Callithrix jacchus: one gene and its partners. The protein of the gene in region 2 purifies or fractionates together with the protein of the main gene of each other region. This does not show direct contact. Links are inferred from orthologs where the notes say so. Each region holds a gene or a part of one and is shown on either strand. Other genes may lie near its edges.

What was found.
Region 1: the proteins of CDK16 (region 2) and CCNY purify together in Homo sapiens (affinity purification with mass spectrometry; 3 studies listed by BioGRID and IntAct, counting the BioPlex papers as one, with this or other methods). This does not show direct contact. The link is inferred for Callithrix jacchus from reciprocal best matches to the Homo sapiens genes CDK16 and CCNY.
Region 3: the proteins of CDK16 (region 2) and CCNYL1 purify together in Homo sapiens (affinity purification with mass spectrometry; 4 studies listed by BioGRID and IntAct, counting the BioPlex papers as one, with this or other methods). This does not show direct contact. The link is inferred for Callithrix jacchus from reciprocal best matches to the Homo sapiens genes CDK16 and CCNYL1.

What each region holds. Positions count from the first base shown.
Region 1 is NC_133508.1:34,932,491-34,943,354, reverse strand, and holds the start of CCNY (cyclin-Y), read right to left. Parts: upstream 6,829-10,864; 5' UTR 6,645-6,828; coding exon 6,491-6,644; intron 5,305-6,490; exon of another isoform or gene 2,438-5,304; coding exon of another isoform or gene 2,413-2,437; intron 1-2,412. Other genes in the region: uncharacterized protein LOC103794173, read left to right, coding at 6,829-7,461, 7,606-7,749. UniProt on the Homo sapiens protein: Positive regulatory subunit of the cyclin-dependent kinases CDK14/PFTK1 and CDK16.
Region 2 is NC_133524.1:48,179,647-48,189,941, forward strand, and holds the start of CDK16 (cyclin-dependent kinase 16), read left to right. Parts: upstream 1-165; 5' UTR 166-561; intron 562-3,720; 5' UTR 3,721-4,534; coding exon 4,535-4,747; intron 4,748-4,988; coding exon 4,989-5,199; intron 5,200-5,812; coding exon 5,813-5,946; intron 5,947-6,047; coding exon 6,048-6,173; intron 6,174-6,263; coding exon 6,264-6,320; intron 6,321-6,417; coding exon 6,418-6,532; intron 6,533-7,185; coding exon 7,186-7,280; intron 7,281-7,378; coding exon 7,379-7,441; intron 7,442-7,692; coding exon 7,693-7,816; intron 7,817-7,999; coding exon 8,000-8,120; intron 8,121-8,228; coding exon 8,229-8,326; intron 8,327-8,410; coding exon 8,411-8,516; intron 8,517-8,597; coding exon 8,598-8,640; intron 8,641-8,789; coding exon 8,790-8,880; intron 8,881-9,918; coding exon 9,919-9,996; intron 9,997-10,081; coding exon 10,082-10,119; 3' UTR 10,120-10,295. UniProt on the Homo sapiens protein: Protein kinase that plays a role in vesicle-mediated transport processes and exocytosis. Regulates GH1 release by brain neurons. Phosphorylates NSF, and thereby regulates NSF oligomerization. Required for normal spermatogenesis.
Region 3 is NC_133507.1:129,213,361-129,223,655, forward strand, and holds the end of CCNYL1 (cyclin-Y-like protein 1), read left to right. Parts: intron 1-1,008; coding exon 1,009-1,175; intron 1,176-4,810; coding exon 4,811-4,973; intron 4,974-7,663; coding exon 7,664-7,774; 3' UTR 7,775-10,213; downstream 10,214-10,295. UniProt on the Homo sapiens protein: Key regulator of Wnt signaling implicated in various biological processes including male fertility, embryonic neurogenesis and cortex development. Activates the cyclin-dependent kinase CDK16, and promotes sperm maturation.

The DNA of each region.
Region 1 (10,864 bases), on a different chromosome or scaffold from region 2:
CAAAAATTAGCCAAGCATGGTGGTGCGTGCCTGTAGTCACAGTTACTTAAGAGGCTGAGGCAGGAAAATCGCTTGAACCCGGGAGGCGGAGGCTGCAGTAAGCCGAGATGGCACCACTGCACTCCAGCCTGGGCAATAAGAGCAAAACTCCACCTCAATTTAAATAAAAAATAAAATAAAGACCATCAGCTTTGTAGAGGAGGGTGAGAAGGCAAGAAAATCTACCACTGCACTGAATTATGTAATTTTCATTCCTCTCAAAAAGCAGGCAGGAGGGGCCAGGCTTGGTGGCTATAATCCCAGCATTGTGGGAGGCCAAGGCAAATGGATCATTTGATGTCAGGAGTTCGAGACCAGCCTGGCCAACATGGTAAAACCCCATCTCTACTAAAAATACAAAAATTGGCCTGGTGGTAGTGATGTGCGCCTGTAATCCTAGCTACTCTGGAGGCTAAGGCAGAAGAATCACTTGAGCCTGGGAGGTGGAGGTTGCAGTGAGTCGAGATCTTGCCACTGCACTCCAGCCTGGGCAAGAGAGTGAAACCTTAGCAGGAAGGAAAGTAAAAGTCCTAATCACAAAATATTGCTAGCCAAAAGTATACAGGCAATAACTGTAAATCTCTTGAAACAAAGTGGGCTGGACCAGGCACCAGGAGGTTCAGAGTCTAGATATGCATCATTTTCTAATTAGCTGTCACAGGACAGTTGAAGTATGGAGGCAAACTGACAGCAGACTGAACCTCAGCTGCCACTAACAAAGTGAGGAACCTTCCGCAAATGTCTTAACCTTTAAGGCTCAATTTCTTCACCTAGAAAAATGGGGAGAATGATGAGAAGACCAAGAAAGAGAATACAGGTCAAGTAATTAACACTTCTTGGCCCAAAGTTAGCAGAGAAAATTCTACTACCATCATCCATGATCTGCATAACCTGGGCAAGAAACTGTACCTGAGATTCAGTCTTCTCACCTGTGAAAAGGGGGTGTGAGAGCAAAGGACTCCCTGATTCTAAGTAAAAACAGAATATATGAAAAGCGAGTGAAGATAGGTCATGGAGCCATGGTCAGTGCTATGGTGAAGGACTCTCTTGACAAATCAAACTGCACCTCTCCACTCTGCTAACTAACACAAAGTCGCGTGCTTGGTCAGAGTGTCTCCACACATCTTGCAGGCAGTGTGGCTGATAAGTCTTAGCCTGGAAAGAAAGTCCATAGGTACGTTCTGCCCACCAGGGCTGGTAATGTTAATGTGGGACCAAGATTCAAGAAAGAGTGCTGCAGAGGTGTGTTAAATAGACTGCAGACACCCGAGGAAGCCAAGAGCAATGCTGCAAGCTCATCCTACAGGAGGCACTTAGATTCTACATTTCCCGTGTCCCCACCCTTCTAATGGCAAGTGTACTTTTGCTGGTTATCCCTCCACTGCTTGGGATGAGTCCCTGAGGCTTCTAGTTTCTCTGGCTGTGGAGTCCAAACACCATGTAAGACACTTCACATGTCAGACAAGAAAACCAATATAAGTGACTACGTTCATCATTGCAGATGTTCATCTAGTACTTTTTGGTTAACTAAGCATTTGAGTCTCAACTTGATCCCGAAGGATGTAAGGCCACAGCTAAAGTCATTCATTGAAAGAAACAAGGGAAAAAGATTAAACACAGCACATTATTAAACAGATCCCCATTAGCCAGGGTTTCCTGTCGGCCTGGCTGTGTTTTCTCTTGTTATGCTTTAAAACGTTTACGTTTCATTTCAGGACTTCGCCCTATCTGCTACCTCTCAGGTTAACCTACAAACAAAGACAAAAAGATTCACATCCATGCTGCTTTCATTATTACAAGTCCTCTTCATTGTCTCCTTGCCTCCTGTTTCCCCTCACCCAATAAACACACTTGATGATGTTCTCACTCACGTCCTTCAGTGGTTGGTTTCACCCAACAAATTCATTCAACAAATACAGTATTTTCAAGGAATCAGGTGCTACTCTAGGAACTTGGGTTACATCAGTGAACCAAACAATAAATGTTCTATTGGAACTTACATAGCAGGTGAAGGTAGCTATTAGATATGTTTACACTTATATAGTATATCATGAGGTGACAGGGAATAAAGAAACAGGAGTCAGGGAATGTGCACTGGGATTGCCAGTGGGCAGCAGGAAGGATGTTTAAAGGGGGTGATTGGAAACGCCTCCCTGAAAAGGTGAGGCTTGAACCAAGGCTGCAGGCGATAAAGGGACTCAGCCAAGACGGCACATGGAGAACAGAGGAAGAGAACAGGGGTGGAAGTTGGTATCTGGCACGTTCCAGGAAGAGCAGGGAGGGAGACCAATGTGGCTGGAATGAGCAAGCGACAGAGTGAGCTGATGGCAGGCAGATCACAAGGGGTCCTGGAAACCACTGTAAGGCTTTTACTTGTGCAATGAGAAGTTGCTGCCATTTTTGAGTGAAAGAATAAGAAGTTAACGCTTTTTAAAGGATCTCTGCCATGGCTGTTGTGTTGAGAACAGACTGGAGCAGGCGAGGGTAGAAGTAGGGAGACCAGGTGGGCTGGGAGAGACAGCAGCTGCTTAGATCTTCAGAAGAGCAGCAACAGAGGTGTTGAGAGTGGTCAGCGACTGGATATATTCCGAGGACCCAGGGCCACACCTTCCTAGCAGAAAGGATACAGGACGAGGGAGAAATGAGTTGTCAAGGATAACAGGTAAGCCATCAGAATGAAAAGAATGAAGTTGCCATCAACCATTTTGAAGTAAAACCCTACCAGGACACTATGGCACAGCTGTTACAAGTGTCCTGATTTATCTGGTCTCCTCACATTTTAAATTCTCTTTAGACCCTCCCTCCCTTTTTCCTCCCACAGAAATAATCTAATCATGGAAGTGTGGACTGAATAACTGTTGCAGACAGAAGAGTTTCTCTTTGATAAAGTATGGATACGAAATGACAACAGACACCCTATCCCAGAAGGCAACCGCAGACTAGCTAATGTTTGATGGCTAAGTCAAGCAACAATGGGAAGTTCCCATTTGCCACGTATTGACGTGTGACTCTGGACAAGTCATTTCTCCTCTCTCCTCTCATTTCTTTGTTTTAAAGTAAGGATAATATTACCCATAGAGTTACTGTGAGTTCTAAGTGAATGAACAGAATTCAAGTACTCAGAGCGACAGCTGGTGGCAGCTGGTACAGGGTAAGTAATATATAGGTTGCAAGTGGCTGGGCGTGGTGGCTCAAGCCTGTAATCCCAGCACTTTGGGAGACCGAGGCGGGTGGATCACGAGGTCAAGAGATCGAGACCATCCTGGTCAACATGGTGAAACCCTGTCTCTACTAAAAATGCAAAAAAAATTAGCTGGGCACGGTGGTGTGTGCCTGTAATCCCAGCTACTCTGGAGGCTGAGGCAGGAGAATTGCCTGAACCCAGGAGGCGGAGGTTGCGTTGAGCAGAGGTTGTGCCATTGCACTCCAGCCTGGGTAACAAGAGCGAAACTCCGTCTCAAAAAAAAAGAAAAAAAAAAAAAAAAAATATATATATATATATATATATATATATATGTTTCAATTATTATTATCATTTTTTTCCTAAAGAATTGTTCTGAAAATTACTAACATTATTGTTATGTATTGTTGTTTTTTCTTAATCTCTGAATGATATTATAAGAAATAATACCTGGGGAGCATGAGTCTAATATCAATTTCAAAAATAGGAATAACCTAACACTAATATACACTGAGAACAAAGACACATTAACTTGACAGTAAGCACCATAGACACCTAAGTACCCAGACACTAAAATTGCCACTGAAATTCTATAGGACAAATATTACCCCTTCGTGTGTCTGGTGGCAGAGGGGAGAAAACATGGATATATATGTTGTATCTCTGTGATTTAAAGACACTAACCTATTATAGAAGACCCATGAATTTCTCCAAACCTTTCTACATCAGCTGGGTGGTACGTATTTCAGGACATACAGAAGATGGTACTTGTGTACTTCAGCTTTTGATATATTCTAGAATCAATAATTCTTATAGTTTTAAAATGTTTACTAATAACCTAACAATCAATACAACTCAGTTCAAATACATACAGATACACATAGGCAAATACAGACATACGGATGTGTGTATATGTCACATACGTATGTCTATATGTCTATATTTGCCTATCTGTCTCTGTAGGTGTATATATATATACACATCTGTATGTCTATATTTGCCTATCTATATGTATATATATACATACACACATACTATTTAGCTAAAATCTGTTCTCTTCTCTTAACCTCTAATAATGAATTTCTACCAAAAATGTCCCTGAACAGCAGGTAACACTTCCAAGATTTGCCCAGCCAACAATTCTCAACTCTACCTGCATCTCAGAATCACCCTGGAGAGATTTAATTAAATATATTAATGGCAATGTCCAACACTAGATTTCTGGTTTAACTGAAACCAATGTCAATGTCGAGAACTGCCAGCTGGGTCAATGCTAGAAGTATTATTTATTGAATTTGAGAGACAGACAGTTAATTAGTATTTCGGGGTTTAAACTAGCATCATATGAACTGGGATCTGAGATGAGAGGGCACCACCCCACAGCCTAGATTGGAAACCTGCCCTATAGTCTCTCAAACTATCCTGAATCTCCAAAACAGTCTTCCAAATGTTCTCTTGAAAATACCTGATGACTGAAACTTAAGTTTTAGTTGAAATGAAAGAACACTCAATACTATTTCACTGTACTCTGGCAAAATCATACTAAGCCTTAGTGCCAAATACCTGGTTACCATTATTTTTTCCACCTTATGTCCTTACAATAGTTAAAATAACTGTATGCAGCCTGGCTCTAAGAAATGTGAATCTTCTTCCGTTTTTTTTCTTTCTTTTTTTTTTTGATCCATCATTCAAAATAATTTTTGAATTATTTTTTATGCACAACATAAAAAAGAAATTATTTACAAATGTTTTCACCTGTCAACATTGTACAGGACTGAGTAATGGCTTTCTGTAATAAACTCACTCATTTACTCTGCCCTTTAAAATGCAATATTTACTGAATGTTTATTATATGCTAGACTTTTCTTTCAAGTGCTAGAGGCTGTGAAAGTGATTGAGACAGATGGGGTCTTCATCCTTCTAGATGCCTTTAAATGCATAAATTTAAGAAGAAAGTATGGCTGTAGTTCAAAGCCATCTAAAGAGTATGTTAAAAATAATGGAAATCTAAAATAACAACACTAGAAATGTCATATGGAATCATAATTTACTAAGCGCGTACTAAAAACCGGACTGTGTTAGTCCCTTTCTACATGACACTTTTTTAATAAAGATGCTCTCCTAAAAAGATGAAATTACCATTTAGAAAAAATCACACGAAAACAAACGAGATAAATATTTTCTTTAGCAGAGTTTAAATGTGGCCTTTCCACAGTAGAGAGAACACTCCATCCTAAAGACGATAGAAAACAATTACGAAGTTGTGTCCATTCATTGACACAAAAATTTTTCCGTATTAGTTCAACTAGATTAATCATGAGAAGACGTTTCGGTTAAGAAAAATCACGTTGTCATAAAAAGATATTTCCAATCTCAAACCTTTTAAGTTGAAAATTCAGTCAACGATATTTTAAGCTTGATGCTTAATGATATCACTGGGCCACAGGGCTAACAAAACGTTGCCAAACCAATAAAATAAAGCATTACTGGGTGCAGTAATTAATCTTAGCTTTTCTTTTTGCAAACTCCAATCCAACCAAAAGTGTGGACGAAGCCCCGGTTATGAATTCCCAAGTAAATCAGAAATTCACAGGACTGCAATTCGAGTCCAAGCAAAAACTGTGTGACTTAACCCAAAGGTGTCTGACAATCTTTTAAAGAGCATTCTCGGGAGAAGCGATTTGCCTCTAAACCGGGAACCGCCACCCCCCCCAAAAAAAAAACCCTTTTAAAAAAAAAACTTTTTAAAGAGAATGGTAACGGAGGTCAGTCAAGTGGAGTCCACTTGTAAGGTTCCGGGGAACTGACTTAAGTCAACACGGATCTCCAACTCCAGGTTGGAGACACCGGGACTCCAAAACGGGAATCCACTCCCACCGCTTTTGCAAGACAAACCCGTGCACAACTTGGCTTCGGGCTGCATTCAGGCAGTGCCTGTTCCGGGCCGCCCCCGCCCAGCGCTGGCCGCTCCTCTGCGGACGAGGGCCGGCCCCTGTCACCCCCGCGACCTACACGCACACACTCGCCCCCGGCCCGCCGCGCTCCGGTGCCACGGGCCTGCAAAGTTTCCGCGGCCGCTCACTCGGGGATAACCAGCGAGGGGTACGCCCGGAGGCTGGGGGACCCCCGGCGCCTTGGCTGCGCGGACGAAGCCCCGGTTGTGCACGCGTCGCCGAGAGCGGCTGGGCCGGCAAGAGCACGCGGGCCGCCCCTACGCTGGGTGTGCGTCTGCAACCGCGGGGCGCGCAGGGCTCGGCGGGCCGCACTCACCGTCGATGTTCTCCCGGTCGCTGATGTGCTGCAGGTTGCAGCCCGTGTCCTCGCGGCTCAGGTCCGTGTCCGGCCGGTAGGACTCCAGCCGGGAGTGGGCATTCCTCCGGAGCTTGGGGCTGGACGACACGCAGCACGAGGTAGTGTTCCCCATCTTCGGCGGCCCCCGACTCCAGCTGCGGTCCTGTTCTCCCCGACCCCGGGAGCTGGGCGCAGGCAGGCGCGGGGCGCGGGCGGCGGGGGCGTAGGGGGAGTCCCGCCCGCTCGCCGCCGCGGGAGGGGGCAGTAGCCACGGCCGGCCGCCGGGTCAGCAGCGGCGGCGGCGGCGGGGCCTCGCCATGGGCGGCGGCGGCGGCGACGAGCGGGCGGCGGCCCCGGCTCCCCCTCGGCCGGCCTATCCGCGGCGGAGGAGCGCTCGGGTCCGCGCGACTGCGGCCGCAGCGCCTAACTCACCCCGCCGCGGCCATGGCGGGCGGCGCCGCGCAGGCCGCCTCCCCCCGCGCTTCTCAGTCAGCGTCCCCTTCCCCGGCGGCGACGGCGGCGGCGGCCTCGACAAGAGGTTCCGGTTCAAGCCGGGGGCACGCGTGTCCGCGCCAGGCAGCGGGGCGAGCCGACGAGTGGGCAGGCAGCGGGCGTGGAAGCAGCCCCTGAGCCCAGCGCGGCGCGGCACGGCCGGGGAGGATGTTGGCGGCCCTCCCCCTGGCGGCGCGCGCCCCCTCGCCGCATTCCCCGCCCCGCCCCGCCCCGCCCCTTCCCTCTGCCCTGGAAGCAGATCGGCGGCCGAGGGGAGGGCCGGGGCGGCGCGGCCCTATGCGGGTGAGGGGTCGCTACCCGCGGCCGCGCCTCTAGCTGGCGCTGGGGTCGCGGGAATCGTCGGCGGGAGCTCGAAATCTGGAGGCCCTTCCCCGCCGGGCCTCGGCCTCCTCCACTCCCCCGGGCCGGACAGGACGGGGCCTAGCGCGGGATGCGAGGTGCGTCCCCGCGGCCCGCAGCGGGCCGGAGCTCAGCCTAGGCCGGGAGGAGGATCCGGGCCCTGGGCACCGAGGCTGCGCCTGCCTCTCCGAGACCGGGCTGGCTCTTTTTTTTCCTCTTCTTTTTCTAATTTACTTTTTTAGGGAGAAGATTTCGCTCTGTCGCCCAGGCTGGAGGACAGTGGCGCGATCTTGGCTCACTGCAGCCTCGAACTCCTGGGCTCAAGCGATTCTCCTGCCTCAGCCTCCAAAGTAGCTGGGACTATAGGCTCGCGTCACCCCGGCTAAGGTAGGGGGGCGTGTGTATGTGTCTCCACCCACTCCTGGCTAAGGTGGGTGTGTGTGTGTCTCCAACCACACCTGGTTAAGATAGAATGTGTGTGTGTCTGTCTGTCTCCAGCCACGCCCGGCTAAGGTGTGTGTGTGTGTGTGCGTGTGACACAGTGGCTAAGCGATTCTCCCTTGTGTGTGTGAAGGTAGGGTGTGTGTGTATGTGTCTCCGTGTGTCTCCAAAGTAAGTGATTCTCCCTCCTCAGCCTCCAAAGTAGCTGGGACTACAGGCTCGCGTCACCCCGGCTACGGTAGGGGGGCGTGTGTATGTGTCTCCACCCACTCCTGGCTAAGGTGGGTGTGTGTGTGTCTCCAACCACACCTGGTTAAGATAGAATGTGTGTGTGTCTGTCTGTCTCCAGCCACGCCCGGCTAAGGTAGGGGTGTGTGTATGTGTGTGTGTCTCCAAAGTATCTAAGGTAGGGATGTGTGTGTGTGTGTGTTAACTTTTTGTAAGGAAGGCATCTCATAGCCCAGACTGGTACCGATTTCCTGGCTTCAAGTAGTCCTCCCGTCTCTGTCTCCCTTGGGATTACAGGAATGGGCCAAGGTGCGGGCCTTTTTTCTTTTGTTTAGTTATGTATTTGGTAAGCATTTAAAAGAAGCTAGGCCTTGATGTGGGAGTTCTCTCTTCTATTATATTTCGAGCTTTGCCGAGGACTTGAGGATAATCTTGTTTTAAGGCCTGAAATAAATCTTGGGGTCCTAGAGCTATTTTAATGTTGAATTTGCTGTGGAGTGTTTTGAGTTCCTTGGAAGTTAACCTGAGGTAGAGAACTAAGGTAACACAACGCATTGACTGCCCTAGTTTTGCTTTTAGAATGCCATCAGGTTTTGTCGCTTTGGGAACAAGTTAACTTAGGCCAGTTGACTAGGATAAAGGTATGTGAACGAGCCTGGCTCAGAGGAAAGTCCAGTAAATGTTGGTTCGAATCCCACCCAAAGCCCACAATGCCAGCCATCCCTGACTTTTCTTGCCTTTATTGGGAAGGATATAAGGTGCAGAAACAGCCTTCCCACCCTTTTTTCCAAATATGTACTAAAGGAGTCATGAACAGAGGCTGGTAGGGGGCTGGGAATATCTTTGAACTAGTTCTCGGAAAAAAAAAAAAAAAACCAGCACAACTATCTTAATTTTAAATATGAGAAAACTGAGGCCCAGAGAGATGAAATCATGCCTTCTTCAGATCTCAGCACCTGTTAGTGACAAATCCAGGTACTAAAAGGGAAGAGAAGATATAAGGGACTTAGTATTTATCTAGCATCAGCAATGTGTGGCCATCTTGTGAAAGGCTTTATAAACATTTCATTTAATTCTCTGCATCTAGCCATTTTTTAACCTGTGCTTTCCCTCCTTCTCACAGGACTGTTTGTACATTTATTAGTCCATATTTTTATTTTTTAGATTTTTTTTTCTCTTAATTCCTTCAGCATAGTCCAATTTTTAAAAGCTCCATCCTCTCAACTGTGTTAATGCTATTTGTTAGGATAAGTGACAAACGTCCCTGGAAAATAAATGGCTGCAAAGTGGTCATGCTGACCAGATGAGAGAAGAAGTATAAAAGGGAAATTCTGAAGAATGACAGCCCTGGAGAGGGTGGGTAGACAACAACAGTACAAAATAGTGCCCTTCCCTTCCTCCTCCTGCTTCCTGGGAAAACTGATTGGGGCACATTCACAATTGCATGTGTGTATTCAGATTTTCTGTGCTATGAAGGTTGGGTCGGATGGCTGAACCCTTGGGAGAGGAGTTCCCTTGTCTGTTCTGATTGCTGCTTTGTACTTTGGGCCATATATGAAAGTCAGCATCCAGTCAATGAAACATCGGAATGTGGTGTATCTACTCAGGCGCATTAAGCAATTTTTATTTCATTATAAAATGTATAACATTTACATTCAAATTATGGTTTCTGAAGGCCTTAAGAGAAGAAAGAGACAATGACACTAAGGTGACAGCATGGCTGGCTGCATGCTCTCTGTCCGAGCAGGTCGCTGGGCAGTGTTAACTGGAGAGAGCATCTAGAGGACTAGAGATCAGTGTAGCCACGTACCCTCAACAAAGCGTGGTACAGCCTCTGGTCTGCCAGGATTCCCACCCCCCACCACCCCTACCTCCTCTGACATTTCTACCATATTCCCCTTAGGTATGTACCTGCACTTACTGAGGTCAGCAATTCTGGAGAGAAAAGATATGTACTAAAGCCTCGCTAGTGGTTTACCTGGGTGCCGACTCCCTCGATGCACCCCACATGCACACTTCACACTCCTCCAGGCAGATGCTCCCTCCCTGACACACAGTGACACTTTGGGGGAAATTACAGAACAGTAACCAACTATGAACAGAGAAATGTGATGTCAAAATGATACTAATGAGAGATGTCATTTCTTGAAAGCCTGCTAGCTGCCATGCACTGTACTATTTCTAACATCTAAATCTGATAAGTTGTACCCCATTTTATAAATAGACCACTTTAACTTTGGTAAGTAAACCTATGCAAGATCAAAATACTGAGAAATGTCCTAACAGGATTTGAACCTGGTTCTAATTTCAAAGTCCAAGCTACGTCCACCCAAACCTCCTACCTGCCATCTCCAGGACTTTGTGAATGGAAAAGCAAGTGTTACTTCTCTCCTCTTTTTCTGCCCTAAAGAAAGCTGGGAGCTGACTGCTTAGGACTGGTACTAAACTTTAAGAGAGAAAAGGATGAGGGGAGCCTTGTCATTTCTGTGGGGCTCAGCCCTCCAACCAGAGTTAAGAAGATAGGCAACAAGGTTGAGGAATAGCCATATGCAGAAACAACGTGAGTATCTAGCCACAGCATCTCTAATACTGTGTCACTCGGGAATCTGAATGCAGGGACGGTTCCTCAGCAGACTGTGGATCTAGCCCAGAGTGTGGACTAGGGGAGTGGGAAAGGGCAGAGGTATGCACCAAGCACTGTAACAAGGCCTGTCCTCCAGCCTGAGGAGGGTTGGGAGGATGGCTTGAGACTGGGAGCTGGAGGCTGCAGTGAGCTGTGATTGCGCCACTGCACTCCAGCCCAGGTGACAGAGTGAGACCCTGTCTCTAAAA
Region 2 (10,295 bases):
AAACAGCCTCCACACTTCTCCCTGGTGCCGTCCCCGGCCCGGCGCCGCATCCCCCAGTGGGCTCGCAATGGCCGCGTCCCCTCCCGCTGCGGACGGGTCCTTTGGTACAGGCAGTCCGAGGTGAGTCCCCTCCTCTCCACTTCACCCTGCCCAGCGCCTGCGTGCGCATGCGCGGAGCGCGGCGCGCGCGGCGGTTGGGCCGTTGGCTGTTCGGCCCTGGGATCTGCCGCGACTCTGCGATCAGCCGGCTCTGAGCCGCGAGTCGCCGTGAGCGCTCGGATTCGAGCCGGCGCCAACGAGCCCGGGGGCATAGCCCGCAGCGGCCAAGCTCATGGCCGGCTGAGCGGGACGCCGCCTCCGCCTCAGCCACCGCCGCCGCCGCCGCCTCCTCCTCCTCAGCCGGCGGCGGCCCGGGCCCAGCAACCATGGCCGAAGACTACTGGGACGGGCGCCTGCGGCGAACAGGAGGAGAAGGAGGTCGCGCGGCCTCATCCCGGGCCGCCGCCCCAGGCGCCGCCGCGCCGGCCCCGCGGCTCTGAGGTTGCTCGCGCGCCCCCGCCGGTGAGCGCGTCCCCGAGGCGTGGGGGCTGCCCCTCCTCCTTCAGAACCCACCCCGGGCGGTGCCCGGGGGTCTGGGCTGGCAGGTGCCCCCACCCCCGGCGAATTTCCCATAATGCACCGGGGCGGGGGGTCATTTGGGGCCTCCCTGACCTTGGCTCCGCCCTGGGCCCGTCCTGGGAGCTGGGGATGGGAAGTGCTGTGGGTGCTAATGGGGAGCAGGGGGAATCAAAGGACCAAAGGGTGTGGAAATGGGTGACAGACTGTGGGGTTGCTAACGGGGGTCGGGGCATGTGGCATTAAGCCTCACGACTGTGTAAGGTTCAAGGCCCGGTGTGTGCTTGCGGAAGGAGGGCGGGGTGCGGAGCGGGTGAGGGACCCGAGGGTGTATAACGGCGGGTAGGATGTCGAGGAAGTTCCAAGACATGCTTATAGGGGTTATGTCCGCAAAGAGGCCCGGTGTGTGTTTATGGGAGACAGGGTGGCACAGGTACCAGAAAGTGTGCTGATGGGATCAGGGCTCTGAGGCCTGGCACGTGGCGATGAGGGCCAGGATGGTGTTAATACTGCGTGTCTGTCCGTGGGGCCTGCGGTGTGTGAGAGTGCAGTGTGTGCTTGTGGAGGGCAGGTAGTTGAAGGACTCGAGTGTGGCGTGTGCGCCAGTGGGGGTCATGGCCGTAGAGGGTGTATGCCTGTGGCCACAAAGGTCTGGGTAGTTTGGGGCCCAGTATATGCTAATGAGGGCAGAGTGAGGAGGGACCTGAGGGTATCTAATGGCGGAAGGACGTGGAAGACCTGAGCCTGGCCTAAGGGAGATGAGAATTGTGTGTCTGCGGGCCTGGGAAGGGGTGGTGGGGAGGGAAGTGTCAGCACTGTCAGAGGCTCAGGGCACAAAGGGTCAAGGTGATGTGAGATGTGTGTCCATGAACACAGGGAATGTGAGTCTCGAGGGCACACTAGGAAGGAGCAGGATAATATAAGAAGTTCTGGTGGTTGCTAATGTGGGTTTAGAGCCATAGAGGCACTTCAGTGTGTGCCATCGGGAGAATCAGTGTGAGGTCTGGAATATGCTAATAAGCGTCAGAACCTAGCAAAGATTGTGCCTGTGTGTGTCTGCAGGGGACCTTGTGTCTGCCGGGGACCAGAGTGTGTTGAGGTTCCAGGGAGTGCTACTTGGGGGTAGGGCTGTGGAGGGAGTCTAGTGTGTAATAAGGGAGATCAGGGCTTTCATGAAGGGATCCAAGTATGGACCAACAGGGATTATATCTGGAGGGGTCGGAGCAGAGAGAAATAGACGACGGGAATATGTGATGATCTCGCTGTGCTAAAGTGGATTACAGCTAGGGAGGGCTGAAGTGTGTGCTAATGGGAGTCAGGGCTGAATGGAGACCTATGTGCACTAATGAGGGTCAGGCCATGGCAAAACAGTGTGTTTGTGTGTCCCTGGGGAATAGGGCTGAGTAGGGGTTCAGGGTGCACTGATGTGGAGGCAGGACTGTGTGAGGCCCAGTGTGTGCTAATGGGAATCAGGGCTGAGTGAAGGCTCAGTTTGTGCTGACTGAGGGGACAGGACAGTGGAAGGACTGGAATGTGTGTTAGCGATGGTCATAGCTGTGAAGGGGCCTGAGTGTGGGTAATACTGGTTAGAGGTCTATCTATAAGGTTTACTTTATGTTAATGGCATTCAGGGCTGTGTGAAGAAGGTCCACTGAGTGCTGATGTGGGTCAGCTATAGAGTACCCCAAGTGCATGTTAATAGAAGTCAGAATCATGTAGGGGGGAACAATATGTTAACGAGGGGGGTCAGTGCTACTGGCAAGAGCCAGAGAAGCTGGCAAGCAGCTAGGCCAGGGAGGGGCCCAAGAATGTAGTAGCAAGAGTTACTTAGAGGAGGCTGAGTGTGTGCTGGCAGAGTTCAGGGCAATATGTTGTGTGTTAGGGCTTTGAATGCTGATGGGTATATGAGATGATAGCAGGTAAGATGTAGTGAGGCCTCCTTGAGAGTCTAGCATGTACTAATGGGGATCAGGACATAGAGTGTGATGATCGAGTCCTTAGTGGTCAGTGTGGTGAGTATCCTTGAGCATGAGAGTAGGCTGAGGATGGGTATATGTCTTTGGGGATCAGAAGGGTCAGGCTGGACATATGCCCTTTTTGGGGTGAGGTTTTATGTCCAGTTTCTTGCTCTCTCCACTTTTTTGAAATCTAAAAAGCTCAGACAACTGAAATGATATTTAAGTTTCCTTGCATATAAACGTTCAAGTATCTTTGTTCACAGGGGCTTGCCTGAGCCCCCCCATCCCCCTTTCTGGGAGTGTTTGTTATGTGAAATACAGATTTTGTACCCCATCTTCCTAAAATTCCAAAAAAAACTGAACTCCAGAGCATGTACAGCCCTTGGGGTTTCCAGTTAGAGGTCGTGGTCCCATGGCTCCTGCTGGCTCCCTCCCCATCCTCCATTCAGCCCTACTTCCAGTCTCCCCCGGCCCCTCCCCTACTCCCTGTCACAACATGCAAAGCAATTGGGTATCTGTGCCATATGGGGACACAAGGTTGTCTTTGGGAGCTGGCCATGCTTTACCTTCCTCACCTTAGGTCCAGTATTCAGCATCCCAAGTCAGGATGTTTTGTTGTTATCCTGGGTTCTCCATGGTTGGACCCCATCTCTATCTGAGGTCTTTCTGCTAGGCTGGCCCCTACCCCTCCTGGGGATAGTGAATTCAGCCAGAGGGGAGTTGGGGTGGGAACTGCTGGGGGAAGCACCTTATTTCAAGGTAGCACATGACCCATTTCTCTCCTCAGATCCAGCCCTTCTCATCCTTGACCTCCTATCTAGCTCTACTTCCCTTGGGCCCAGGGCCATCTTAGGCCCTGCTGTGAGTCCAGATGGTTCCTGGGCCAGGTCTTTCCCCCTCCTTGCTGGCTCAGAGCCCAGGAGGAAGCAGAAGAAGGCTGGCCTAAGCCTTTTGGTGGCCCCATTCCCTTCAACAATCCATCTAGGTCATCTTCCTATTGATGCCAGCATCCTTGGGCTACCCTGTTTAGGGTTGTTCAATGAGTAGCAGGGACTCAACACCTTAGCAGAGGTTGGTCCTAGGCCCTCAGCCCTCTGATTCACTTTTTTCTGCCATAAGCACTTTTTGAGCATCTACTCTGTGTCAGTCACTATTCCAGGTCCTCAGGATATAGCCGTGATCTAAACACAGAAACCTACCCTGGCGGAGCTGATCTTCTAGTTGTGGCGGTGAGGAGATAGACAGTAAAGACTAAAGAAACCACCAATAAGTAGGTGGTATCATTTCTGAGGAGGTAATGAGTGCTGGGGGGATAACTGGCAAGGTGAGGGAGCTTGGGATGGTTGAGATTTTAAATAGGGTTATTCATGGAGGTCTCATGAAAAAGGTGACTTTTGAGCAATGGCCTGAAGGGAGAGGGGAGTGAGCCATTTCGAAATTTAGGGGAAGGGTGTTCCAGGTACCAGGAACAACCAGTGTAAAGGCCCTGAGGTGGGACTCTGCTGGGTGTGGTTATAGAACAGCAACTAGGAATGTTGGGGGGAAGGGGGTTCAGAGGTAATAGGGGCAAATGAGGTAAAGACCTGCGGGCCACATTGAGGACTGGGGCATGTATTTGGGGTGATGAGAAATGTAGTACATTCTTGAGTAGAGGAGAAATGTGACCTGGCTTGTAAAAGTCTGGATTAGACCCTAGGGGTCCTAACCTGATCAAACTTTTCTGCCAGCCCTGAGAACAGCTGGTGTACACTGAGACATCCCACCCCCCCAATAACCCCACTCAGTGGTTGGGTCTGGGCAGAACACCCTGACAATCCCCCCCCCCCCGCCCCCCCGGGTAGATCAATGGGATGATGCGGTGGTTGTCATGACGATGATTGCTAGAGGAGTCAGGAGGGGAGGGTCCCTGTGGGCACAGGGAATAGTCTGCCTTGGCCTTCAGGGGTGGTGCCAGGGGAACCATGCTACACTACAGGCGTGCTCGAGGCCATGTCAACCATCCCTCAGTTCTGGGCCCACGCCCTGTTCGACCCATGGCTGGCCCCGTCACTGCATCTGTACCAGAGAAGAACTGCTATGGAGCTTTCTCCTGCAATGAGGCTAGTCCCCTAGAGGCCAACCGTCTATTACTTGAGCCCTTGCCCTCAATCAGCCGCCTAAATACAAGAATTCAGGTGGGCTACTTAGGAACAGGGTTCCAGGGGGCTGGTAGTGTGGGTGGGCAAGTATTGACAAGGATCCCTGACCATGCCGGGGTTCCAGAAACCCCCAGTGGCTCTAGAGGGTCCATAGTGGTTGAGTAAGCACTGACAAATTCATGTCAGTGCTCCCTGCTAGGTTGTGGGCTTAAGGGGACCCATGGCGATCAAGCAAATGCTAATACGAGACCCATTTCCATCCTTGCCCCTTACTTAGATCGCCATGGATCGGATGAAGAAGATCAAACGGCAGCTGTCAATGACACTCCGAGGTAGCCGAAACATAGACAAGACCAATGGTGCCACTGAGCAGATAGGCCTGGATGAGAGTGGTGGTGGTGGTGGTGGCAGTGACCCTGGAGAGGCCCCCACACGTGCTGCTCCTGGGGAACTTCGCTCTGCACGGGGCCCACTCAGCTCTGCACCAGGTGGGTCCACTAGCTACTCCCTCTCCCGTATGACCCCAGGCTGCTTCCCAGGTGCTGCCTCTTGACCACATTCCTCATTTTCCTCTCTATTTTCTGTCCCTTCTCTGCCCGATGTGTGCTCTCTTCTTCCCCTTCCCTCCCATCTTCTCTCAACACCCTCTGTCTATCTGTCCATCTGCAATCCTTTCCTTGCCTTTCTGGCCAGGCCCCGTGGTGGGTGGCAGAGGGTGCCTTGCCTGACACAGCTGCCCCAAGGCTCCCTCTGCCCTTCTGCCCTCTATGGTGGCCACCTCAGGCCTCTGGTACCTACCTGCCCTGGGCCTGCCTTCCCAGGTCCCTTGGCTTATCCCCACCACCACCTAGCTACTGGCTCTGAGCTCAGTTTGTCCTTGGAAGAGAGGGTTCCACTAGGTGACTTTTGCACCCCCCCTCCCCCAGTTCAACCTGTCCTTAGATGTACCTGGGCCCCATCACCCTCTCCCTGAGGGACTCCAGGTTTGCTCTGGGGGCCATGTGTACACATGTGTGATGATGGAATATGTTTCATGGGGAAGGGGGTGTCCTGTGGTTCCTGACGCCATCTGGCCTGCCCTATCCCTCTCCCTGCCACCAGAGATTGTGCACGAGGACTTGAAGATGGGGTCTGATGGGGAGAGTGACCAGGCTTCAGCCACATCCTCGGATGAGGTGCAGTCTCCAGTGAGAGTGCGCATGCGCAACCATCCCCCACGCAAGATCTCCACTGAGGTGTGTAATGCCCTGTCTGGCTGGTGAAGGAGCTGGAAAAGAGGGTTGGACCTGGGGAGGTGGAGCTCATGATCCTGTTTCTCTCTCACCTTACCTGCTAGGACATCAACAAACGCCTATCGCTACCAGCTGACATCCGGCTACCTGAGGGCTACCTTGAGAAGCTGACCCTCAATAGTCCCATCTTTGACAAGCCACTCAGCCGCCGCCTCCGTCGTGTCAGCCTGGTAAGTGTCTTCTATTCCTGTCCTCTCCTTTTTCTCCTCCTCTCCCAGACCCTTCTCAGCCTGCTTCAACCTGCTTCTTTTGTCCCACAGTCTGAGATTGGCTTTGGGAAACTGGAGACTTACATTAAGCTGGACAAGCTGGGCGAGGTGAGAGGCAGTCTGGAGGCCCATGGTGGGGATGACCGTCAGTGGGAACTCCTAGAATCTCATAGCACCTCTCCTATCACACTTCCTTATATTCCAGGGTACCTATGCCACCGTCTACAAAGGCAAAAGCAAGCTCACAGACAACCTTGTGGCGCTCAAGGAGATCAGACTGGAACATGAAGAGGGGGCACCGTGCACCGCCATCCGGGAAGGTACACACCCCCATCCCATCTGCCCCAGGCTTCCCTGACCCACCCCATGGTGCACACGCTCCATAATGAGAACAAAGACTGGTTCTAGGACCCTCCCCCCCCCAAAAATACTCTGGCTTTCATGGGAATGCCTGTCACCTGCATATCCAGGTAATAATCAGGATAACCAGGAATCTGTTCCCATTTGGATAAAAGGTGGATGAATTGCAAACCAGGTTGCTAGCTTTGGTTCTGAGAACACCCCTGAAAGTAGTCACTAATTTATTTACAGCAACAATTTCTAGTCAGAATATCACATGGAATGAATTTGAATTCAATTTCACACAATGCTGCAGGCCTATGTACTGAGGGTTGGAGCCAGGCCCCTTCCCAGAAACCAAAAGCAGGTTGTGAAAATCTAGTGCCAAATGAGCCTGGAGCTGCAATCCCAGTCTTGCTCCATACTCTCCTCTGAGTCTTATTTTCTGCACCTGGCACATGGAGACACTTCTTTCTGGCATGAGGTGGGTTAGAGCTGGTGGCTCCAAGGCATTACCCTGAACTGTCTGGAGAAAGAAAACCTGGGCTTGTCCCTTTCTAGTCCTTGTCCTCACCTCTGTCCTGAGGGTAGGACCCTGACTCTTTCCCCTGTCCCACTCCCATGCTTCCTGCAGTGTCTCTGCTCAAGGACCTCAAACACGCCAACATTGTTACGCTACATGACATTATCCACACGGAGAAGTCCCTCACCCTTGTCTTTGAGTACCTGGTAAGGTTGAGTGGCAGTGGGTCCCAGGGGGAGGTGGGGAGAAGGCCAGGAGCCATAGGAAGTAACCCTCATTTCTGTACCACCTCTTCTTTCCTCAGGACAAGGACCTGAAGCAGTACCTGGATGATTGTGGGAACATCATCAACATGCACAACGTGAAAGTGGGTGTGGGGCAGGAAGCAGGGGCACAAGGGGGCCCCCACTCACCCACTCCAACCCACAAATCTCCCAGAAATGGACTCTTCCCTTTGGCTTTTTTTGCTGGGAGCCCTTGGAGGGCACTGGGACCCTGTCCTCTTTTGTGTGACAAGGCTCTGGGCCCAGTATCTGTGTTTGGGAGGGGAGCAGTGCCTGCCGGGGGTCGGGCTAGTGGATAGTCTTTGACCTCTGCCTGCCATTCCTGGGTCCCCAGCTGTTCCTGTTCCAGCTGCTCCGTGGCCTGGCCTACTGCCACCGGCAGAAGGTGCTACACCGAGACCTCAAGCCCCAGAACCTGCTCATCAACGAGAGAGGAGAGCTCAAGCTGGCTGACTTTGGTACCACTGGCCTCCCACTTCTTCTCATCAGCCCCCCAGCTTCCTACTTTCCCATGACCACTTAGTGTCATTTCCTTTTAGCCTCGCCAGATTTTGCCTAGGACATCATCGGTCCCAACTGCACTCTCCCCCAGACTTGGCCTATGACCTTCTCATTCTAGCTGTCCTTTCTGTGCTTCCCAGGTCTGGCCCGGGCCAAGTCAATCCCAACAAAGACGTACTCCAATGAGGTGGTGACACTGTGGTACCGTCCCCCTGACATCCTGCTTGGGTCCACAGACTACTCCACTCAGATTGACATGTGGTAAGGCCAGGTGGAAGTGTGGCAGGGACCATGTGGTAAGGGGGGTGGCTTGGTCACAACAGCCACCCAGCCAGCTGTCTCTCTCTTCACCATGCCCTCCCTGCTTAGGGGTGTGGGCTGCATCTTCTATGAGATGGCCACAGGCCGGCCCCTCTTCCCCGGCTCCACGGTGGAGGAACAACTGCATTTCATCTTCCGCATCTTAGGTGAGGAGGCATGGGCCCAAGGCACTGTGGAGACACACAGGGAAGACTTGTGAGATGTTTTGGGTAACTCCTCTACCCTACTAGGAACCCCAACTGAGGAGACTTGGCCAGGCATCCTGTCCAATGAGGAGTTCAAGACCTACAACTACCCCAAGTACCGAGCTGAGGCCCTTTTGAGCCACGCACCCCGGTGAGGCTGGTGGGTGGATGCATGTTAAGGGCCAGGGTGTCCAAACTCATTTTAAAGCAGGTTTCCTTGTCCTTGTGGCAGACTTGATAGTGACGGGGCTGACCTCCTTACCAAGCTGCTGCAGGTGAGACCACCTTGGGCCAGCATTGGGGGTAAGGGATTCAAGGTATGGGAAAACAGGGACTCCCCCGCAACCAGGGGCAGGATCTGAGGTGGGCAGGAGACCTACTCATTGAAGATATCAATACTATCCCCTACCTCCCCCCAACTCAGTTTGAGGGTCGAAATCGGATCTCCGCAGAGGATGCCATGAAACATCCATTCTTCCTCAGTCTGGGGGAGCGGATCCACAAACTTCCTGACAGTGAGTGGAGCTGGGGAATGGACCGGCCAGTGTGGGGACTGGGAAACAGGACTGCTGGGGCCAGCTGGTGGGTTGCATAGGATCTGGCTGTGCCACCTCTAAGTGGGGGGACATCTTGTTCACATAACATTTTTTAGTTTTCAGTTCCTTTTACCTTTCATGAAAAATTTCAAACATACATAAAAATATATGTAATAGCACTTTACCTTTTTTAAGTAGACATTTCCTTACATGTGCTAAAAAATGCACAAATCCTAAGTATGAATTTTCATAAATGAAACACATTCTTATAACCAGCACAAAAGTCAAGAAACAGAATGTTAGAAGCTCCTCGCCCCCAGCTCCCTTGCATCTCCTTCAGTTATTCCCAGCCCCCTCCCAAAGGGTGGCCTCTGTTTTGACCTCTAACAGCAAGGATAAGTTTTTTCTGTCTTTGTACTTTATAGAAATAGAATCACATGTGATGTTCTCTTTTTATATCTGGCTTTTAAGAACTTTTTAATATGGATATTTTCAAATATATGTATTTATATATTGGTCAAAAGAATGTGATGAGTCCCTAAGTACTCCCACGAGTCAATAAGTGGTCAATCTGGTTTTATCTATATTCTCTCTGATTATTTTGAATCACATCTAATCCCAGACTCATAACATTTATCCCTCATTTCAGCATATACCTATAAAAGATTTTTTTAAAACAGTATTATCAAACCTACAAAAAATTTGCCTACTTATCTCCTTACTGGATTAATATATAAAGCAAATCCCAAACACCACCCATCACCTAGACTTAACAGGTGGTAATTGCAATACCATAATCCATTTTTCAAAATTAATGTTGATTTCTTTGTGTTGTGTAATAGGCCATATTTCATCCTCCCTAGTTGTAGCTGGTTTGTGTATGGAATTGTTTGACAGATGAAGGTCAAGCCTCTTAAAGAAGGGGCAGCTTTTTCTAATTCCTCCAGTGGAGTTTTGTGGGGCTGGTCCTAGATGACCTCATGGGTCATCCCCTACTTCTGTCTCCTCCATCTGTAGCTACTTCCATATTTGCACTAAAGGAGATTCAGCTACAAAAGGAGGCCAGCCTTCGGTCTTCATCAATGCCTGACTCAGGTGGGTGCAGCCCCTTGTCTTGCTCCCTCCCCACCCACCTACCTGCTTGCCCACCAACAGCCATCTGCTCTGCTTTCCCCCGCAGGCAGGCCAGCTTTCCGCGTGGTGGACACCGAGTTCTAAGCCACAGACCGAGGCCCCAGCAGGCAGCGGCTGGAGGGATGCCACACCCCTCACAGGGCAGCCCCCAACATCTTCCCTGCTTACTCTCTGCCTCCCTGCCTGAGCCATGTTCGCCTGCCCACTTGTTCCCTGCTGCCTGCCCAAACACCCGATCATTGGCCTGTCTGCTGGGTGCT
Region 3 (10,295 bases), on a different chromosome or scaffold from region 2:
CCAAAGTGCTGGGATTATAGGCATGAGCCCACCGCTCCAGGCCTGTTGCTGGCCAACATGGTGAAATGCTTCTCTACTGAAAATACAAAATTTAGCCAGGTGTGCTGGTGGGTGCCCAGCTATTCGAGAGGCTGAGGCAGAAGAATCGCTTGAACCCAGGAGGCACAGGTTGCAGTGAGCCAAGATTGCACCACTGCACTCCAGCCTGGGTGACAGCAATATTCCATCTCAAAAAAAAAAAAAATTACTTTTGTCTTGATAAAGAGATCAAATAGCATGTAGACATACTCTTCTGCAGAGAGCCCTTTGAGGTAACGGCAGATCGCAGCTTACCTCTATAATCTTTTCTCAGCTGTTTGCTTTGCTCAGTTCTTTGAAGGATGTTTGGTAGATGTAAAATAATTCATGCAATTGTCTCATAAACTGCTTGGCAGGTTTAGAGGAATACCAGGGGGTCCAGAGACATCCTTTTTTCCATGTACAAGTGTTTCTTGTGGAGACACTACGGTGATTATTTTACAGCCTCAAAGACCTGCGCCTGTCATGCTGCTTTGCACAACAGCCACTGGGTGGCTCTCTTGACCAGCGGTTCTTCAAGCTAGTGCCACGAAAGGGTTAGTTATTGTGAAAAGGAGAAGGTAAACATGTGCTCAGTATTACTTGGGTTTTATATGTTCGAGCATAACATAACTACCTGTAAAACTATCTACCATCTAGGTATGATACGCTGAGAGTACCTCTCTTTATGATGCCTTTTGCCGAGATGTTCAATCATTCCTGTAACCAAAATTGGGTTGGAAATGTAGATGGGCAAAGCAGGCAGCAGAGATACCTGACCTACAACTGTGATTTGGTGTCTTGCTTTGGCCAACTAAGCAAAGTCGCTGAAGAACATAATAAAAGGCACTTATTTTCTGGTCAAAAACAGAATAAATCTGTCATTCGTAAGAATTCTTATCAAAGCATTTAAACTGAACTGAAATCAAAGACCAGTGCTCTATTTTACAGGTTTATTTAGAAAGGCTCTTAACTTATGCTGAAATCGACATCTGTCCCACTAATTGGAAAAGGATTGTTCTGGGAGCCATTCTTCTTGCCTCCAAGGTTTGGGATGATCAGGCTGTGTGGAACGTGGACTATTGCCAGATCCTCAAGGACATTACAGTTGAGGACATGTGAGTTTGTAAGGTTTTGGTGAACTTTCTAAAGTTAACACTTTAAGGAATATTTTTAAAGGTTATACAGATAACGGAAATAGGCATAAGACTTTGTCTAGCTTAATATAACAGTTCACAACAGAGCAAGAATCTGTCTCAGAAAAACCCAGCTTCACATTTTTCATCATTAATTGATAGGTTTTGTTGTGTAATAATCTGCTTGATAAATTGAAAAGTCTTTTTCTGGTGGTTTTTGGCAAACATCTTACAAGTGTACTACCAGAACAACATAGTACAGTAAATATCTTTATGGCTTTTAAAAAGTTATCTGCCAGTTCAAGCTCCTTTCTTTTTCATTTATTTATTTATCTTTTCTTTCTTTTTCTTTTTTTTCATGTGACCAGTGGGGTATAAACAGCCCCTAAAGGGCATATGTCTGGCCTTTGAAATAATTGGCCACTCTTAAGGTCATAGGGCCTCTGGACTGTTGAGAAGTTATAGCTTCAACCTGAGTCACACATTGTATATTTGCTTTTGCTAGTCTTTTTCCACATTTTATCTGAAGGTCTTTTTATAAAAGCCTTGAGATATGAAGATCCCTGTGGCCCTGACTCCCTCCCCATTAGGAGTGTTTCATGTGTTTTGAAATTGGTCTGATGATTGATGAAGCTCCGGTGTTCCCCTCAGGCAATCTGAGAAGCACTGCTGGGGCATCACCCAATGCTCACCACACTTGAGAGGCTCCCTGGGCACTCGGACAACCACAGCACCACTTTGGGGGCCTTGAGTTACCTATGAGAGTGTAAGAAGTCATGCTGAGTCATGGAGTTCCTCACAGATGGCACCAACATGACCCTGAAAGAGCGGCTTCATCAGGGCTTCCTTCCAGTCTGGCCTCATGACTGCTGTGAAGGGAAGGGCCTTGGAGCTTGGTAGGCAGCGTAAGCCAGGGAGGCATTTCCAGCAAAGACTCTCAGGGTACTCACTGGATAGTGAGAATGGCTTTGTGGGTGGCATTCAGAACAATGTGAAGGAGCACGTCTTGATTTCATGTTGAGCAGCAGAGGAAGATCGAGGTCAAGACAGGCAGTGGCAAGAGCTTGTTTTTATTGCCTTTGCCATTACTCCATATGACTGTCATTCAGAATTAGCATACCATATACTCACAACTGAAGTGAGGAGACTTGTGACTAAAAAGGAACCAGTAATTGTGGTAGCTGTTGAAGTGGCTTTTGGTGAAGTTAACCACTTTACTAATGATGTAAACCAAACAGCTGTGGTGATATTGCTGGTAGCCGTTTTAGCAAAGGATATGACAGCAAGTAACTTTGAAACAAATGTAAGTACTTTTGGAAGTTGCAGAAGCTAAAGTGACTTCGATCACTGCTGTCATCAGTCTGCAAACTAGTTTCTTGAAGGAAGCAAAATTTATAATTATGAACACTTAGCCATACCATGATGGCAGCTAAAATGTTCTCAAAATCTGCGACCGAACTGGCTGGGACTCTAGTTCTAAACCCAAGATCAGAGAACACACAGGGAAATGTGCAGGTTTCTACAGATGTGAGCTCCAGGAGCATCAGTGGCAGGGGCCAGCTCCAAAAAGACCAGTTCCAAAGACTAGTGCTATTTGTGTATGCCCAGGGAAGCACCAGGAGCTCTGCTACTAACACTCTACTTTTGTTTATGATCTTTGCAAAGCATTTCAACAAACGGTTTAATAAACATTTATATATTAAACAAATGTCATCCCCCTGCTGTTGACTATTTGTAGTGGTCTCATTTTGAGTCTAAATTTAAAAATTTTATATTGGTGCCTTTCAGGTTTTTCTTAAACTTTTTCAAATCTACATGTCATGTTAGAATATATTTCCCTTTAACAGAATAAGTTAAACTGAGCAGCTGCTATTCAGATGGTTTGCTGTGCCTGTAAAGGGTATGCTATTCAGCCATCTAGCCATTTAAAAAACAACAAAAAGCCTAGAAGATGCATATTCTATGGGCATAATGCTTTTCTTCAGTGATTAAACCCCTATTAATACATGTGTTAATCCTATGAAGTACTATATTTCTACACAGTTAAAATGTATTAGTGGAAAAAATATAAAAGGGATTGTGAAGTGCATTTATTACTGTAGTAAATTAAGTCCTGATTAGCTGATTATCAAAACATTATCTGATTTACATTTCTATAGACTTTCGGACGTATGAACAGGAAATTAATTTTGGAATTAGGTTCAGTTGGGTTTTTAAGCTCAGCAAATGAGAAAACCACATCTCTGCTCATATTCTAACTGCCCTCCATACAGGGGCTCATCAAGCATTTGTTGACCTAGCCAGTGGATAAAATATTAAAATTTTAAAACCAAGAAACCAAATATGTTGTTCAGGTATTTATCATTTTAATACAGTTAACTGTATAAAAGAGTTACTGTGGGCCGGGTGCGGTGGCTCACGCCTGTAATCCCAGCACTTTGGGAGGCCGAGGCAGGTAAATCACGAGGTCAAGAGATCGAGACCATCCTGGTCAACATGGTGAAACCCTGTCTCTACTAAAAATACAAAAAATTAGCTGGGCATGGTGGCGCGTGCCTGTAATCCCAGCTACTCAGGAGGCTGAGGCAGGAGAATTGCCTGAACCCAGGAGGCAGAGGTTGTGGTGAGCTGAGATCTCACCATTGCACTCCAGCCTGGGTAACAAGAGTGAAACTCCGTCTCAAAAAAAAAAAGAGTTACTGTCAAAGTGGTTAAGATTTTCTCTGGTTTTATGTTTATTTGCTTAAGCGTTTGGCAAGGGCAGCTCTGTGGTCATGTGGCTGAGGACTACAAGCACCTTAGGGTTTCATTCCCAACTCAGAAGAAATGCCTGAGTTTATAAATCCAGTGACCTACCAGAAGTCATATCAAAATGGGTTTAGTCTGGCTGAGACATCCACCTTTGATCCTTCTGCCTTCCAAAAGATGGAGAGGATCCTTACCCTGTCATAGTGACAATTTCTCACCTTCATAATATTAAAGTGAGCAGAAACTTTCATTATGCCCTTTGACATAGCCTCATGCACTGGAACAGGAGGAGAGGATTCCCTTCCCCTGTAATGTGGCTTGCTTATTTTATTTATTTGAGATGAATCCTTGTTGCCTCAAGAGTTTTTCCCCCTCAGAGATAATAGCAGTGGCTCTCGATGGATCCATTTGTTGCCGTGGTGATGTGCCCACTCCTTTTGTTGGTGCTTCTCTACTTCAATAAGCCCCTTCCTGTTATCAGCCCGGTGAAAATGTCTGCAAGTTCTTCAGAGCTAATAAACAGCATACATCATTCCTTTCATCTGATCACTATAGTGGGGCCTTGTGAGTGAGCATGAAGTATGAATTGTACAGCTGCACTAATGGAACTCTGAAGAATGAGGCCCGAGTCAGCAGCACAAGTGCATCAGAGGCCTTAACCTTCAACCCTCATCCCAATCCCAGAGTGCTGGGATGCAGAAGGAACCACAAGTAACTGTACCTTGTGTGAACATTAGTATGTTAATGCATCTGGGTAACCTATATTTTAAAACAGAGTTTAGAGCCATTCTTGTAGCTCTAAACTACGAGATATTTTTGAAGAGCGCCCAGTTGACTAACATTGTTCTGTTCTGTTCTTCCTCCTCCAGGAATGAAATGGAAAGGCATTTTTTGGAGCTTCTTCAGTTTAATATTAATGTTCCTGCCAGTGTTTATGCCAAATACTACTTTGACCTTCGCTCCTTAGCAGATGACAACAACCTGAATTTTCTATTTGCTCCTCTTAGCAAAGAAAGAGCACAGAACCTAGAGGTAAGTCTGTGAAGTCACTAAGTGGGGTTTTCCATCAGCCACCAAAGCCAACATCTGTGACTAAATCATATTAAGTAGTGATTAGGAAAATGGAAAGCTTTAAAATCAACTAGCACACTGAAGAGCTTATTAGCCATTTGGCATCAGATTTCCTGTGTCTTTTATGGTTTATACGAGGATCAACATTATTTTAAAATTATACATACTGCCTCTTCTGTGACCATAATTCCGAATATTTTCAATCAAATTTAATCTGTTCTTAATGGGTTTCCTTTTGAACTTGTATTCTTTCACATAATCATACATGAATAATTTTTTTTAGCTGGGTGCAGTGGCTCATGCCTGTAATCCCAGCACTTTGGGAGGCTGAGGTGGGCAGATCACTTGAGGTCAGAAGTTCAAGACTAGCCACTGGCCAACATGGTGAGACCCCATCTCTACTAAAAATACGAAAAAAAAAAAAAAAAAAAAAAGGGCCAGGCACGGTGGCTCTTGCCTATAATCCCAGCACTTTGGGAGGCCAAGGAGAGTGGATCATGAGGTCAAGAGATCAAGACCATCCTGGTCAACAAGGTGAAATTCCGTCTCTACTAAAAATACAAAAATTAGCTGGGCATGGTGGCAGGCACCTGTAGTCCCAGCTACTCAGGCGGCTGAGGTAGAATTGCTTGAACTCAGGAGGCGGAGGTTGCAGTGAGCCGAGATCAAGCCATTGCACTCCAGCCTGGGTAACAAGAGCGAAACTCCATCTTAAAAAAAAAAAAAAAAAAATTAGCTGGGCATGGTGGCACATGCCTGTAATCCCAGCTACTTGGGAGGCTGAGGCATGAGTGTTGCTTGAAACTGGGAGGCAGAGGTTGCAGTGGGCTGAGATCATGCCACTATACTCTAGCCTGGGTGACGGAATGAGACTATCTCAAAAAAAATTTCTTTGTGACTGTATTCCTAATTTTATCTTGACATAATTCACTTGCCACTCCTGACTTTTAATTATTTATTCTGTTAGCAAATTCATGTCATTGTTTATATATCACATTGCAGTCCCGTAAGTTTTTTAGACAGAGGATTAGTGGCTAAGCCAAGAGACCTATACCCTTCACTATATAGGGTGCAGGTGTTTCAAATACTGGATGTAAGGGCCGGGCGCTGTGGCTCACGCCTGTAATCCCAGCACTTAGGGAGGCCAAGGCGGGCAGATCACTTGAGGTCTGGAGTTCGAGACCAGCCTGGCAAACTTGGTGAAACCCCATCTCAACTAAAAAAAAATACAAAAATTAGATGGGTATGGTGGCAGGCAACTGTAATCCCAGCTACTCAGGAGGCTAAGACAGGAGAATCGCTTGAACGCAGGAGGTAGAAGTTGCGGTGAGCTGAGATTGTGCCACTGCACTCCAGCCTGGGTGACAGACTAGGACTCCATCTCAAAAATTAAATAAAAAATAAAAACCCATGTACTTCTACAATCCAGTATTTGCTTTTTTGTTTTTGTTTTTTGTTTTCATTTTTGAGACAGGGTCTCACCCTATTGCCCAGACTGGAGTTCAGTGGCATGATCTTGGCTCACCACAGCCTCTCCTCCTGGGTTCAAGCAATTCTCATGCCTCAGCCTCCTGAGTAGCTGGGCACCTGCCATCACACCCAGATAATTTTTGTATTTTTAGTAAAGACAGGGTTTCACCTCAGCCTTCCAAAGTGCTGGGATTACAGGCATGAGCCACTGTGCCCATCCAGAAATGGTAACTTTTATGGGGCAAAGTAATATTTATGGCCTAGTGAGTATACAGCAGAATTACGACTGAAATGAACACATATTTTAAACTGATACTTTCCGTGGTACCTTGGTAGTACTTTAGAATGATATGTATTTCTCCGCTGGGTGAGGTGGCTCACGTCTGTAATCCCAGCACTTTAGGAGGTGGATCACTGAAGTCAGGAGTTCGAGACCAGCTGGCCAACATGGTGAAACTCCGTCTCTACTAAAAATATAAAAAATGAGTTGGGCATGGTGGCACATGCCTGTAATCCCAGCTACTCGGGAGACAGGCTGGAGAATCGCTTGAACCCGGGAGGTAAACGTTGCGGTGAGCTGAGATCACGCCATTGCACTCCAGCCTGGGCAATAAGAGCAAAACTCCATTTCAAGAGAGAAAAAAAGAATAATACCTATTTCTACCATAATTAACGTGCAAGTGAAGTAGCACCTTTTTGTGCTTCAGTCGTTTGACCTCATATGTTCCTGTATAGTCCAGTGCACACCTGCCTCATTAAAATTTACTTTGAGTATATATAATAGCTAATAAGGATTGGGTAGATTTGAATAGCTGAATAAAATTTTTTTGCACAAGTGTATGCTCGTTATAGTTAAGGAGTAAGTGCACAGGTAACAGATGCTATTGCTGTTCGGAGCCTATCACAGTATCTTTGACATCTTTGGGAATGTAATTTTTTAATAACTTAATAAATTCCCTTTTGTTCTCTGGCAATGTAATCATAGCCCTTAAGGGATATTACCTTGGTGAATTGGCAGAAAGTAGCATCCCCAGAACCTGGCAGTGTAAAACAGCTCAAGTAGCTGTAACTGTGAACTATCTAAAGGAGTCCACATGTGTGGCTTTCATCAATGGTGCCTTTTTAAAGGTGGGAACCCTTTTTAAAATTGTACCTGTTTTCTATCTGATTGACTTTCCTAGGCTATTTCTAGATTGTGTGAAGACAAAGACTTGTGTAGAGCCGCTATGAGAAGGTCTTTCAGCGCTGATAACTTCATTGGTATTCAGCGCTCTAAAGCCATCCTCTCTTAAAGGGAGAAATGAGGGGTTATAACATCACAGGACCTTCATCTACAAAGACTGAAGAATAACACCTTTCCTGCTCAAGAACCAGCAAAATTAGTGTTTTCATCATTGAATTCAGGAGACACATGGACAACAAGGATTATACTCCATAGGAAAGAATGGGACCTTGTCAATGCAACAAAACACTCTTTTGTCCTTTTTAATGTAAACAGAGTTACAAAAACCACTCCAAAGTGAAGGCTCCCATCCCACACACAGATATTTGCTTACTGTGTGGGCCAATAGCTGTGAACTATGTAAGGTTTTTTTTAAACAATAGTTTAAATTTTTAGACTTTAAAGACACTAACCATATAATTTTTATGTTTCTTCCAGTTTTTCTCCCTCTCCTCCCTTTTACTGCATATGCCTTTAAAATCAATGCAGTATTACCATTGAAACATGGGACTCTAAAGCCACTAAGGAGCGGACTGCAGCATTGTTAGGTATTGAAGTGTTCTTCCTCCCTACTGTTACCACTGAAGCTGCTAGTCATTGGCAATCATTTTAAACCAAAAAGCTGCTGGATAACATTTGTCATTCATATTCTTTGCAAACATTACTTTAACATTTTAGCATGTTTGGGGTCATAAACAGGAAGTATCAGTTACTGATATCTACTTCTCTTGGGGTCCATGTTGCATTTCTTGTGAACTATAAATGGTGCTTCTCATTTTTCGATAATTTTTCTCTTGTTAAATAAATGTATTAAAAGATATTTTCATAATGCCAACCAACATGGTGGTTCAGTGACAATGAAAAAAATGTAAAGCAGTTTTAAGCTTTAATATAGTTTGGGCCCTCCAAGGCACTGCAGCATGAGTATAAATGCTATAAACCTTTAAAAGACATCGTTTGAAAGTGTTTTAAAGTTTTTAAGAGATGGGGGTCTTACTGTGTCGCCAGGCTGGAGTGAATGCCTGTTCACAGGTGCAATCATAATGCACTGCAGCCTAGAACTTCCTGACCTCAAGCTACCTTCTAGCCTCAGCCACATGAGTAGCTGGGACTATAGGCATACCCGGCACTTGTCTCCTGAATATTAAGCTTTTAATTTTTTGATTCAGTCACTCTTGAATATAGCAGATACTGACTGAAAGAAAAAATTAAAAGCTTTATATTCAAAATTTGCAAAATGAAGCTGGGTGTGGTGCATGCCTATAGTCCCAGCTTCTTGGAAGGCTGGGGTTAAAGGATTGCTTGAAGTCAAGTATTGAAGGCTGCAGTGTACCATGATGGTGACTATAGGAATAGCTACTACACTCCAACCTGGACGTCATAGCAAGACGCCATGTCTTAAAAAAAAAAAATGCAAAAGAAATGGGTTGGGCATAGTGATTCATGCCTATGATCTCAGTACATGGGAGGCTGAGGTGGGAGGATTGCTTGAGCATGAGAATTCAAGACTAGTCTAGGCAACATAGTCAAACCCTCTCTGTAAAACAAATAATAAAAATAATTAGCTGGATATGGTGGCATGTGTCTATAGTCCCAGCTACTCTGGAGGCTGAGGTGAGAGGATCACTTGAGCACAGGAGGTCAAGATTGCATGGGCCATGATCATGCCCCTGCCCTCCAGCCTGGGTGACATCCAGACCCTGTCTCAAAAGAAAAAAAAAGGAAACCAAACAAGGTTTTGTAAAGGTTTGTAGCGTTTATACTTTTACAAGTATCAAAGCTTAGAATTACACTAAACTTTTGGAATACCTTTTATCTCCATAAAATCCCTCCTCTTTTTAAAAGAAGTTACTTGCAGGACTGCGCTCTATATGCTTTGATCCCTGAAGTTTCTTTAATGTAAAGGAAGATTTTGAAGAGCAGTGTTAATTAACATGTAATAAAAGGAATTGGACCCTAATGATAGAAGGTGATATGAACAGCTGTTTTATCATCCTACATGTTACCAGGCTGTAGGTGTTCCATTAAGTCCTGCTATTTAAGAAATAACTTACATAGCCCTTAGGAACTCTTACTTCAGGCTTTAAAAGGCAATGATCAAATAACTTTAGGAGACTGATAACAATGTCACCTAAATTTGAAATACTAAAAAGAGATTAGTGTTCTCAACGATGTGAAATGTATTTCTTCTACTTTCTCAAATATAATCCTAGGAATCTTGCTTATAAACAAAGCATTTCTGGGCCACAAATACTTCCTCTAATATAGCAGTGCTTGGCATCATATTGTGCTGCAGTTTCCATCATTTTTAAAGGACAGACACACAAATGATAATGGTATAAAAATACTACAATCTACCACCTCAAAAAAAATTGTTTGTGGAGTTCAGAGCTTGGAGATTCAAGTATTGATTGCAGTTTTATTTTGAAAAGAATGCTACAATTTATGTGGTTTTTATTTCTCATGTTTATATTAAAAGAAAAGCTAATAAACTCTATTTTAATTAAAATATGGCTAGTGTGTTTTTGTAACACTTCTATTCACATAATGTTACATCTCTGCCCACCCTAGTTTTAAGTCAATCCTGACAT